2 linked regions of the Saccharomyces cerevisiae S288C genome follow. The gene in region 2 interacts genetically with the main gene of each other region. Each region holds a gene or a part of one and is shown on either strand. Other genes may lie near its edges.

Region 1 (5,195 bases), on a different chromosome or scaffold from region 2:
ATTATGGTAACTGGTCAAAAACTGTTGCCGACTTGAACTAATGATAATGAAGGTAAACATCCCCTCCCCCCCCAAAAAAAAAAAACGAGAATTCCTCTCAGAGGATCTGTTTTTCTCTCACTTTATTCACATAGATACATACTTTTTTACAATTCCTGTTGAGTTTATTTATTATAAGAAATATTGGATTACTATTATTATTATAGCTTATGCAAGCCATTGTGCGGCTTCTTACGCTTTTTGAAATTGTTGACCTAACAACTTGGCACATTATTGAATTTCATAGAGACTGCTTGTAATTTAGTTGCCAAGGTATCTCGCTGGACTTTACATGTAAAATGAATGCGGCAAGATACCCAAGAGAGTTGATTATGCCAAAAAAAAAAAATCTATAAGGATATCCCTGGTATTTTCTGAAGAATAAATTCTAGCGTAGTTCAGAAGAGGTGCAAGTACAGTATGAATAATGGTATGCCTTCCATCATCGTGGCATACAGGTTCAGGCATGAAGAGATGATTATGTTCCCTCACCGGTCCATAATCCTGATTTAAACAGTTCATTAGTATATGTTCAGCCAACACAACAACGAGAAGCTTTGTAGTGAAAGTTTTCCACGATCTATATTTAGCATTCTAATTAGCGGCCCCAAGGGAACGTATATAAACATAAACAAACGGCACGAACTAAAGGGGCAAATTCAAGTTAACCCTTTTACACTCAGTACATCTTCAAAGCCAGTCTTCTGTCAATGGAAGAATCCAGAATGCCTAAAACTAGTTATTTAAACAAAAATTTTGAATCTGCTCACTATAATAACGTACGTCCCTCTTACCCTTTATCTTTAGTCAATGAGATAATGAAATTTCACAAAGGCACACGCAAAAGTTTGGTTGATATTGGATGTGGCACAGGAAAAGCAACTTTTGTCGTTGAACCCTATTTTAAGGAAGTGATTGGGATTGATCCTTCTTCTGCTATGCTTTCGATTGCTGAGAAAGAAACAAATGAACGTAGATTAGATAAAAAGATTAGATTTATTAATGCGCCTGGTGAAGATTTATCCAGCATTCGACCAGAAAGTGTAGATATGGTTATTTCAGCAGAAGCCATCCATTGGTGCAATTTAGAAAGGCTGTTTCAGCAGGTTTCCTCTATATTACGAAGTGATGGAACTTTTGCATTCTGGTTTTATATTCAGCCGGAATTTGTGGACTTTCCCGAAGCCTTGAATGTATATTACAAATATGGATGGAGCAAGGATTATATGGGTAAATATCTGAACGACAACCAACGGGAAATTTTGTTGAATTACGGTGGTGAAAAGCTACGTTCTTTATTGTCAGATCGATTTGGAGATATTGAAGTCACAATTTACAGTCCTTCGGACCCAAATGCATCAACAGTAACGGCTGAAAACAGTCAGTTTCTCTGGAGAGCAGCTATTACTCTCAATCAATTTAAAGAGTTTGTGAAAAGCTGGAGCATATACACTTCTTGGGCTAGAGATAATCCCTCGAAACCGGATATTGCCGATATATTCATTAACGAGCTCAAAGAAATCTGTCATTGTGAAGATTTGAATGTACCTTTAAAAATAGAGTGGTCAACGTTTTATTACTTATGTAGGAAAAGAGAATGAGGTTTACTAAATTAAAAGAAATATATAAAAAGCTGATTTTTTTCTTTTTTTAAATATTTCCCAAATGCTAATAAATATTAAAATATGGCAAAAAGAAAATAAGGTGTTGTTGCGCAGTTGGGAGTAATTTAAAACCGTCAACATATGCTCTAAAAATTTTATTGGCTCTAAATTCCGACCTCTGAATGTAATTATGTTTTAAAGCGATACGTAAACTTGTTACTGTTAACATTAAAAGATAATGCAATCATGGTAACATAATAAAGTCTCAAAAAATTCTTAATATTAACTATAACATATGCACTTCAGAAAGCTGTTTCCGGATCATATCTCATTATAAAAAGCTCAATTTATAGAAAAATAATGCGACAGTGCAAAGTAAACAACTAAATTTGGTGCCTACACCGCAAAACGATATCGAGTCTTAGAAGTATATACCTCACCACGTCTCAAAAGAACGCAGTCTCTCCATCCATCACGGTTGATTGCGTCAACATATCTGCCTTGTTCAACGGCAAAGCCAGATCTCGGCGTAAATCCATCACACAAGTTGTCACCTGTGTAAAATAGGACAGTTGGTTCTGTTGTTGAAACCTCCAATGAAAGTCGTGATGCCGGATGATAAGCCTTGAAGGCAGGGACGAGCTTGTTTACACTTACTGAGTCTGTCGTTTTCAAATTCTTATTTTCATCAACAATGAAAGCGTAGTCATAAATCGGGCCATCATCCTGCAGAATGGTAGGTTTGGAGGAGTCAAAAGTAGCAATTTTTCTTTGAACGATTTTACCGGTTGGAATTAGTGCTCCTTCGCTTACTTCCAATGATTTATCTGAGCAGAGCCTAACCTCCGTACCGCTAATGGATTTTTTATCCATAGTTTTGTTTAAATTGAAGTACGTGTGATTCGTCATGTTGATGGGAGTAGCCTCACCGCTGACCAGTTTTGCCTCGTATTCCAAGTCCAAGGTCATGTCAGCAACGTTCAATGTGTACTTTAAGTTTACAGCTAGATCTCCCGGAAATTCATTGGGCAGTGTGCGGTCATCCAATAACGTAAATTCAACAATGTAAAGGTCATCAAGAGGATTTTGGACTTTGGATGCCTTATACTTCTTGAGATGGAAGGAGCTGATGCTACTGTGGTTGGTGTTTCCACAATTGTTCACTGTCAACTGATGAGGTCCATCTTCCATACTGAACATGCCCTTGTAAATACGATTTGCATAACGGCCAACAGTAGCACCAATGTAGTTGTAGCCATCTGATATATAGCCATGAATATCAGGGTATCCTAGAACAATCGATTCGTTGTTCACTTTCAAGTCAAGCAAAGTAGCGCCAAGCTCTGAAATTGTTGCTTGAAGCTTTTTTGCATCACCAATAGTGATGACTTCATATTCACCGCCAGCCTTATTATTTGACATTATCACTTTTTGGCTTTTTAGGTGAATTTACTTATTGCAGTAACATAATGTACAATTGAGTTCCAGTACTTCGTAGTACATTCTGATTTTATATCTCAGAGCATCCAAGGTGTTTACGCATGAATAACCAAACCATGGAGGAGTTACTTTTACCTTTTTTTAAGATATTCAGCTAGTAACTAATTGTCGGAAAAACTTAACAGGTACAAGGCCATATTATCACGTAACAAACCTAATTTTTGTACGATATTAGTGCCCGAGAATTTCTCCGTAGCGTAATTTTCTGCGAGAATTTCTGCGCAGTGCAAAGATATGCGACCTGACACTCTTTACGAAACTTTACCCCTCCCCCACCTCCACCTGCATTTATCCCGTCAAAAAGTGTCAATCACCTGGATGCATAAGGAGGAAAAATTATTCCAAGGATGTTGGACAACGCGAATTTTGGAAGTGACTTCTCATAAGCTTCTGATCTCTACTATATTCTTGTAATTTGGTGGGGTAGTGCAGGCTTACTGTGCGATGAGCAAATCCAGCGTATTGCTCACAGCGATAGGCCTTTGAAATGATATTGTTTGAATGCAAAACGCAGAAATGATATTCAACTTCATAATCTCATTAAACAAGATAGCATGCCAATAGAATTCCATTTTTTCCGATTCTTAGGCCATTTACAACCAAGTATCAACTTTCGTATAATTTTATTTCCATAATTATACGCAAATGCTGCAGTAGTTGCACATAGAATGATGATACGACCTAATAAAGGAAAAGGGGAATCTGTTCTGAGCTGAAAACTGATTCAAAACTCAATTTGGACACTCGGTTCGGGTGCTGGCCAGCAATAGTTTAGTGTTATCATGTCATAATCTTCCTCATAGGTTTCAATGTAATATCGATAATTACAAAGTAGTTCCTTTTCATTTAAATTTATATGCAAGAAGATAAGAGTTGATGTAGCAGTGCACCAGTTTTGCTTTACAATTCTTACAGTTTTATGAAAAATAATCTCCAATATGCCATGCTGAACTGGCATTCTTTTTGAGTGCAAAAGGAGGTTTTGGAAAAACAAAGTCTTCTTCTGCGTGTTACTCTGAAAATGTTGAAAAATAAGCTGAATGGGGCATTACATGTTTTCATCCAAACATGCCTTGTCAATAACGAGATTCGCGACGTATTCTTTTAGTATTCTGTTCCTTTTTTTTTTTGCTCCGCGCGCACTTGAACATCTTGCATATTTTTCTTTTCTGTTTTCATCCAGAGGTTGTGTTCTAGGACTTTCTGACGGAGGAATATCATCAAATCATCACAATAAGATCAATTGCATGGGTTCCAGCACTTAGCCAAATGTACAAATCTTGATATTTACCGGAGACCAACCCTTAGTTTGAAGTGTGCGCTACCAGGGAATCTTCTTCGGTCATTATTTTCTATCTTCACGATAATCGATCCTCCTCCTATACGTTAATATCGACTGATATCTAAATACATCGTTGAAGAACGGCGGAAAAATACTTATTTTCAGGTTGTCTTCGTTTTCACTCACGATAGCAATATGGATCCTTTCACAGCTCCTATCACCGCTGTAGTTTTTTATGACGCTTAATTTCCTGTTAATAAGTAAATAAGGTAAGTTGAAGGTCCTTCATACTGTGATCTGCAATAAACCACATGGCTACCGCACTTCTTGTCACTATCCTATGTGGAGAAAACCCAGAAAAAACTTTAAAGCGTGATTGAAATCAATAATTTGGCAAAGAACTAGAACCATACGCAAGAAAACCTTCCAACTTTGGCATTGTACGCAGAAATGAGACACGTTCAAAGCACAGGTCTTGAAATTTAAAAAAGTTTCTCAAAAGTTCTCCCAAACCTTCAATTTCTATTGGTATAACAGTATTCTAGGAAGAAAACAGGCGAAGAAAGTTTCTTTACTTTCTTCCTTTAATAGACTTTCATGAATATCAAATGCTGTTGTTTTCAACTAAATCAGACAAGCAAAGGCGATTGCTAAAAGTGAACATATGGAAAATATATGGAAAAAATCTAGAGGCAACAAACGTTCGGGTTTCCTTTTAACTCCGAGAAAGAAAAATCATTAGAACTTCGTGTTAATCCTAATAGAGTTCA
Region 2 (5,779 bases):
CAATTTTACTGCATCTTCATCACTTCTAGCAGCAATCAAGGCGGCCTCGTTACAAACGTTGGCAATATCAGCACCAGAAAAGCCTGGCGTCAAAGCCGCTAATCTATTTTTCAAATCAAAAATTTCCCCGGCAAGTTTCAAATGATGTAAATGAACAGCAAAAATGGCTTTTCTACCCTCAAGTTCGGGCTTGTCGATATTGATATGCCTGTCAAATCTACCAGGCCTTAATAATGCTTTATCGAGAATATCGGGTCTATTGGTACCAGCTAAAACAACAACGTGGTCAGCTGGAGTGAAACCATCCATTTCTACTAACATTTGATTTAGCGTGTTCTCTCTCTCATCATTGGCACCTGAAAAATTACCCTTTTGTCTTGCTTTTCCTATAGCATCAATTTCGTCAATAAACACAATTGAGGGTGCATTTTCTCTTGCAGTTTTGAACAAATCTCTTACTCTTGCTGCACCAACACCAACAAACATTTCTACAAATTCTGAACCAGAAACAAAATAAAACGGAACACCGGCTTCACCTGCTGTTGCCTTTGCAAGCAAAGTTTTACCGGTACCTGGTGGACCAGATAGAATCGCACCTCTAGGAATTTTAGCTCCCATTTTTTCATAACGAGAAGGTTCTTTCAAGAAGCTAACAAACTCCATAATTTCTTCCTTAGCCTCATCGCATCCGGCAACGTCCTTGAACTTGATCTTAACGTCTGTTTCAGTGTTAAATTTTTTAGCCTTAGAACGACTCAGACCAAATATGCCTCCACGGCTACCGCCCGCTGCTTGTGCCGATCTTCTTGTCAACCAAATAATACCTGCAATCATTAAAACAGTTGGCAAAATTTGGAACATAGCTTTAGCCCAATTGCCTTCTTGAACATATAGTACAGGTATTCTGAAATCCTTATCAATGTCCAGTTCGTCCTGTGCTTTCTGAAGTTTGTGTTCGAAGCTATCAATTGAACCAATTGTGAAATAATAGAAGTTGCGACCGTAATTGTCGGCTTGGTTTTTTCCGTTGTCATTTAACATCACTTTCACCATGGACTTGTTGACAACAATCAACTTCGCAACATAACCTTTTGCCAATAGTTTCTCTCTAAAATCCTGCCACGTTATCTCACTTTGCTCTTCCAAACTGTTGAGGAGATCCAATAAAAACGAAAGGAGGAAAAAAGTTAGTCCTATCTGGAATAAGTTAACATTTTTCGATACAGGATTACTAGGATCATTTAGAGGTGGTTTTGGGGGAGGAGGTGGTGGTGGCGGTGGAATATTTCTGCTATTGTTACCTTCAAAGTAGCCCTGCTCTTTTGTTCTGTTTGACTTGGCTTTTGAAGGACCATTTTCCTCCTCTTTTTCCTTTCTTTCTTCTTGAATTCTGTTAGATTCTTGTTTCAATACAGCATCTTCTAAACGCCTAATACTTTCATCAATTTTGCGTTTCTGTTCTTTCCAGTTAGCCGGTATAGTATTATTTTTAGTTTGTTCGATATATTTTTCTACTTGTTTTCTTATTGCTTCAACCTCTTCGTCTGTGGGAATTTCTTTGTTAAGTTTAGCGTCTTCGTTATTGTCCTCGTTCTTGTTACCGCTCTTATTCTCTTGCAGCCTATTGAGTAGCCGATATTGAGTATGTAAACTCTTGATATGGGTCAAGCCGTAATAGGACCGGAAGCGAACGGGCCTTCTAACTACCTTAGTAGCAATTCTTGACCAAGAAAGTAGCAACATTAGTACTCTTTCTAACTTTAAAGTTGCTTGCCAAGACTCTTGAGTGTGCTATATTGTATTCGTTGGCAGCTCAAAATCTTTCCTTTAAAACTATAGTGGCAAAAGTTAGAGATCGTTTTCACGAGAAAATGATGGGGAAAAATGGACCAAAAGACAAATGTATTCACAATGTGACACCAGATAGCTTGGTGATTAGTATATAGATCTTACAGGACACCGAATAATACCAGAAGGGACTTTCTTATTGAACGAACCGATATGTGCATGCGTTATCCTATAAAGAAATACGTCCGGATGGGATATTCAAACAAGACGCCGGACAAAATAATTCACACATATGGAGGATGTTACGTACATGAGCACAAGACGAACCGTACAAAGAGAAACATACATCATCACTCAGACGATAAGATCATAAATTAGCAGATGACACTTTAGTTTATTCTCTTTGGTAGGTTTTCTACAATCAGAATTATCTAACGGCGAACTTCTGTAGGCAGAGTTTTCGCATCGCCCAATGAGATAATGCACTTTCAAAAGACCACGCTGCACTTGCATCAAATTGGTTTACGAAAGAGCAAAGTCGAGGATTAGCACATTCCGTGTGCCCATACGTTACCATTTTTGACAAAGTTGGCAACATCAAGCGAGACATATCTACAAATATACGTATCAGAATTGTACCCGAAGTATTTCTGGTTATATTCGTTGCTAACCATTTTAACGTATTCAGCCTAGTAGCCTGCAAGAACTATTAATACAAATCGTGAAACAGAAGTTCTTTGAGTTAAAGTACAAAGACAGACAACAGCCCTCGGTGAACCTGTTGGTGTGTGTTTCCTGTATCACAAAACACAAGCGAGCAAAGAAATACGACGTTATAGCTTTTAATAATACGACGAGACAATGTTAGTGGCCGTAATAACTTTCCAACAAAAGTACTTTCCAAACTTTGCTGTTACCTCTGTGATTGTTTAGTACGAAAATTGTATCGCGCTGTCAACAGCAAGGGGCTGCAAGTATTACGTAAGGGTACACTCGAAGTAGGGATATATATTTAAAGTCCCATCGTGACGCTCATAATAGGATACTTTCCCTCCAAATAAAAATTCATTGAAGTTATATCATCGGTATTCATATATTATTGACTTAACAGCCATGTCTCCTATGAAAGTTGCGGTTGTCGGTGCCAGTGGTAAAGTTGGACGTTTATTGATAAACCAATTGAAGGCCAACGATAGTTTCTCAACACCATTAGCGATTGTTAGAACACAGGATCAAGTCAATTATTTCAAGAATGAAGTAGGTGTTGATGCTAGTTTGACAGATATAGAAAACGCGTCCGTTAGTGAGATCACAGACGCTATTAAGGCTTATGATGCCGTGGTCTTTAGCGCCGGTGCGGGTGGTAAAGGAATGGAAAGAATTTTCACGGTTGATCTGGATGGCTGTATCAAAGTTGTTGAAGCATGCGAAAAGGCTGGTATCAAAAGGTTCGTTGTTGTTTCAGCGCTCAAGGCGGAGGATAGAGATTTTTGGTATAACATTAAGGGTTTGCGTGAATACTATATTGCAAAGAGATCTGCTGATCGTGAGGTTAGAAACTCTAATTTGGATTACACTATTTTACAGCCTGGATCGTTGGAACTAAATAAAGGTACCGGTCTTTTGCAACCCCTTGACAAATTAGAAGAGAAGGCTTCTGTTAACTACTCCATTAACAGGGAGGATGTAGCTTCTTTTATTGTGGAAAGCTTGCTACATCCAAATGCAACAGTGAAAAAAACCATTTCGTTGGTAAATGGCAACGAGCCAATGGAAAAATTCATTCAAAGTTTGTAGATCAACCTATTTACGCGTGAAATGCATATGTAGATGAATAGTCAAGAAAAGAAAAAGAAAGTGAGAATATATGAATTTTTTTACCTTGATTTGAAGATAAAAATTTGTTATATTGTTACATTGAGTATACTAAATATATTCGTTGCATTTTTCGAAATTTTGTTGTTCGGTGATAGCCCTTAAAACGTCTTCATCAACAACGTCTTCATAGATCTCTTTCGGGATTTCCGACAGTCCCGTTTTCGGTTTATTCAAATCGTTATCGTGTATAACGGTCTCATACACAATGCTTGTGTCGCTGGGACTATCGTTTTTTGATCTCCTCCATCCTAAAACAGTGGTTGACTGTGTGGATTCTGGTATGTGTAATATATTTGTGTATGCATCTCTCAAGCCTTGTTGATCTACAAGAAGAACCTTCACTCTATCATAAAACAAATCGCTATTAAATCTACTACACGCAGCAGAATGCTGATAGAGCCAATTTGTAGAGCTCAGCTTACTACCTGATGCAATAATATTAGAATTACTCATGTGACCATGTGGCCTGTGTTCAAAGAATTCCACCTGGTTTTTTGCAGGGTTTATGCCATTCTCGGAAGCAGGATACATCATGGTTTCTAAGGCCCTTGCGGATTTATCAATAGGATCACCAGCAAGTTTTCCTTCAATTACATTTCCCTTTGTTCTTAATTCAGAAGCATAATAATCATCGGTTATATGTTTGCCGCCACGAATGATTTTAGCACCAAATTCTTTAAACACGCCTCTAGCGGTGACTAGAGCGATTTGTCTATTTCTATATGAATAAGGTAAAACGCCACGGTCTATCAAGTCGTTCTTTTGAGTTTGATTCAGAATGAACTTATAAAGGTTGGGGTGAGTTTGAAAAAATAAATATGAATCTCTAAAACCCACTATCCTAGCCGGTTCGGTGGCCAGCATAAACTTTCGATTCCCCTTCTCAGTTAATGTGAAGGTGCGCACTAAAAATTCTCTGCCTCCTAATAGATCACCATCTGCAGTTATCTTCGTCTCACCTTCAGGATCATCTGGTAGAACATATTCTTCATTGACCACTTTCAAAGGATTTAAGTTCTCCTCAGCATCATCGATTCCGGGAAATACTGGTTTTTTGAACTTTGAACGGTTTCTAGATCTAGTAACGCCTTTATCCTCTGACAAATCCTCTTCTTCGTCCACGTGCCTCCTTTTGTTTCTTCCGCTTTTATTTATCTGTTCCTCCTCATCACTTATTTCTTCTTCATTCACTCCCTCATTGGCTTCTTCTTCTCTGTAATCATCATCTTCATTCTCATCATTTTCATCAATATCTAAATCCTCAGTATCAATTGCATAATTGGGTCTGTTGCTAGTAGATCTTGACCGCTTCTCATGTTCAACTTCGGAAGCTAGACCTCCCTCTGAATCTGACATTTCTGCTAGATGGTATTTCCTTCTTCAAAAGTAAATGTACTGTATTCAGTAATGCTTAAACTTTATAAAGCTGTTTTCTTGCAATATTTTTGTCTGCTCACAGTAACATGTTTAATAGTTCGAACGGGTTTTTTTTTAAAAGAGCGAAGTAATCAAAGCATTCGGGTAATAATTACAAGTTTATATGGACTGTGGTAAAAACAGTGTAAAACTTTTTTATATCTATTTTTCTAAGGTTACGTAATTGTTTACTTTATATTCTTATCTCACTCGAGGACAACATTCCACCTTTTAATGCAAGCGTCCGCACCAGAACTAACCAAGGTAGATGGTGTTTCCCATAAAAGGTTGTTAACACCGTCCTTGTGAGCATTCAACGCCTTAATGATTTTCATAGGTCTTTTGACGGAGTAAATAAAAATATTGGTGTCTAAAGAACCAGTGGCAACTAAGTCCTCTTCAATTTCCTCTTCGTTTGCTCCCTTTTCAGCAGGTTTCCATGAAATGGCGTTGATTTTACTGGTGTGGAAAGCCCATCTTGAAGTTTTCACTTCTCTTGATTGTAAATCATATAGCAATATCTTGCCCATAACATCTCCAGCAGCGATGTATGTTTCAGATGGCGAAATTGATATGTACGAGGGTTTTGCGCGAAGAGGTGTTTTTAAATCAAAACTGACTTCCAAATCTGATAATTTGAATACCTGAATAGTATTACCTTCTTCCAAACCAACTGCAACGTAATTTTGGCTCAAGC

Evidence for each region. A genetic interaction does not mean that the proteins touch.
Region 1: mutations in YMR090W (region 2) and YHR210C together harm fitness more than expected from each alone (negative genetic interaction), as found in Saccharomyces cerevisiae (one large-scale study listed by BioGRID).

What each region holds. Positions count from the first base shown.
Region 1 is NC_001140.6:518,673-523,867, forward strand, and holds YHR210C (aldose 1-epimerase superfamily protein), read right to left. Parts: upstream 3,066-5,195; coding exon 2,040-3,065; downstream 1-2,039. Other genes in the region: branched-chain-amino-acid transaminase BAT1, read left to right, coding at 1-41; CRG1 (S-adenosylmethionine-dependent methyltransferase), read left to right, coding at 765-1,640.
Region 2 is NC_001145.3:446,344-452,122, forward strand, and holds YMR090W (uncharacterized protein), read left to right. Parts: upstream 1-2,901; coding exon 2,902-3,585; downstream 3,586-5,779. Other genes in the region: m-AAA protease subunit YTA12, read right to left, coding at 1-1,743; NPL6 (Npl6p), read right to left, coding at 3,715-5,022; AIP1 (Aip1p), read right to left, coding at 5,289-5,779.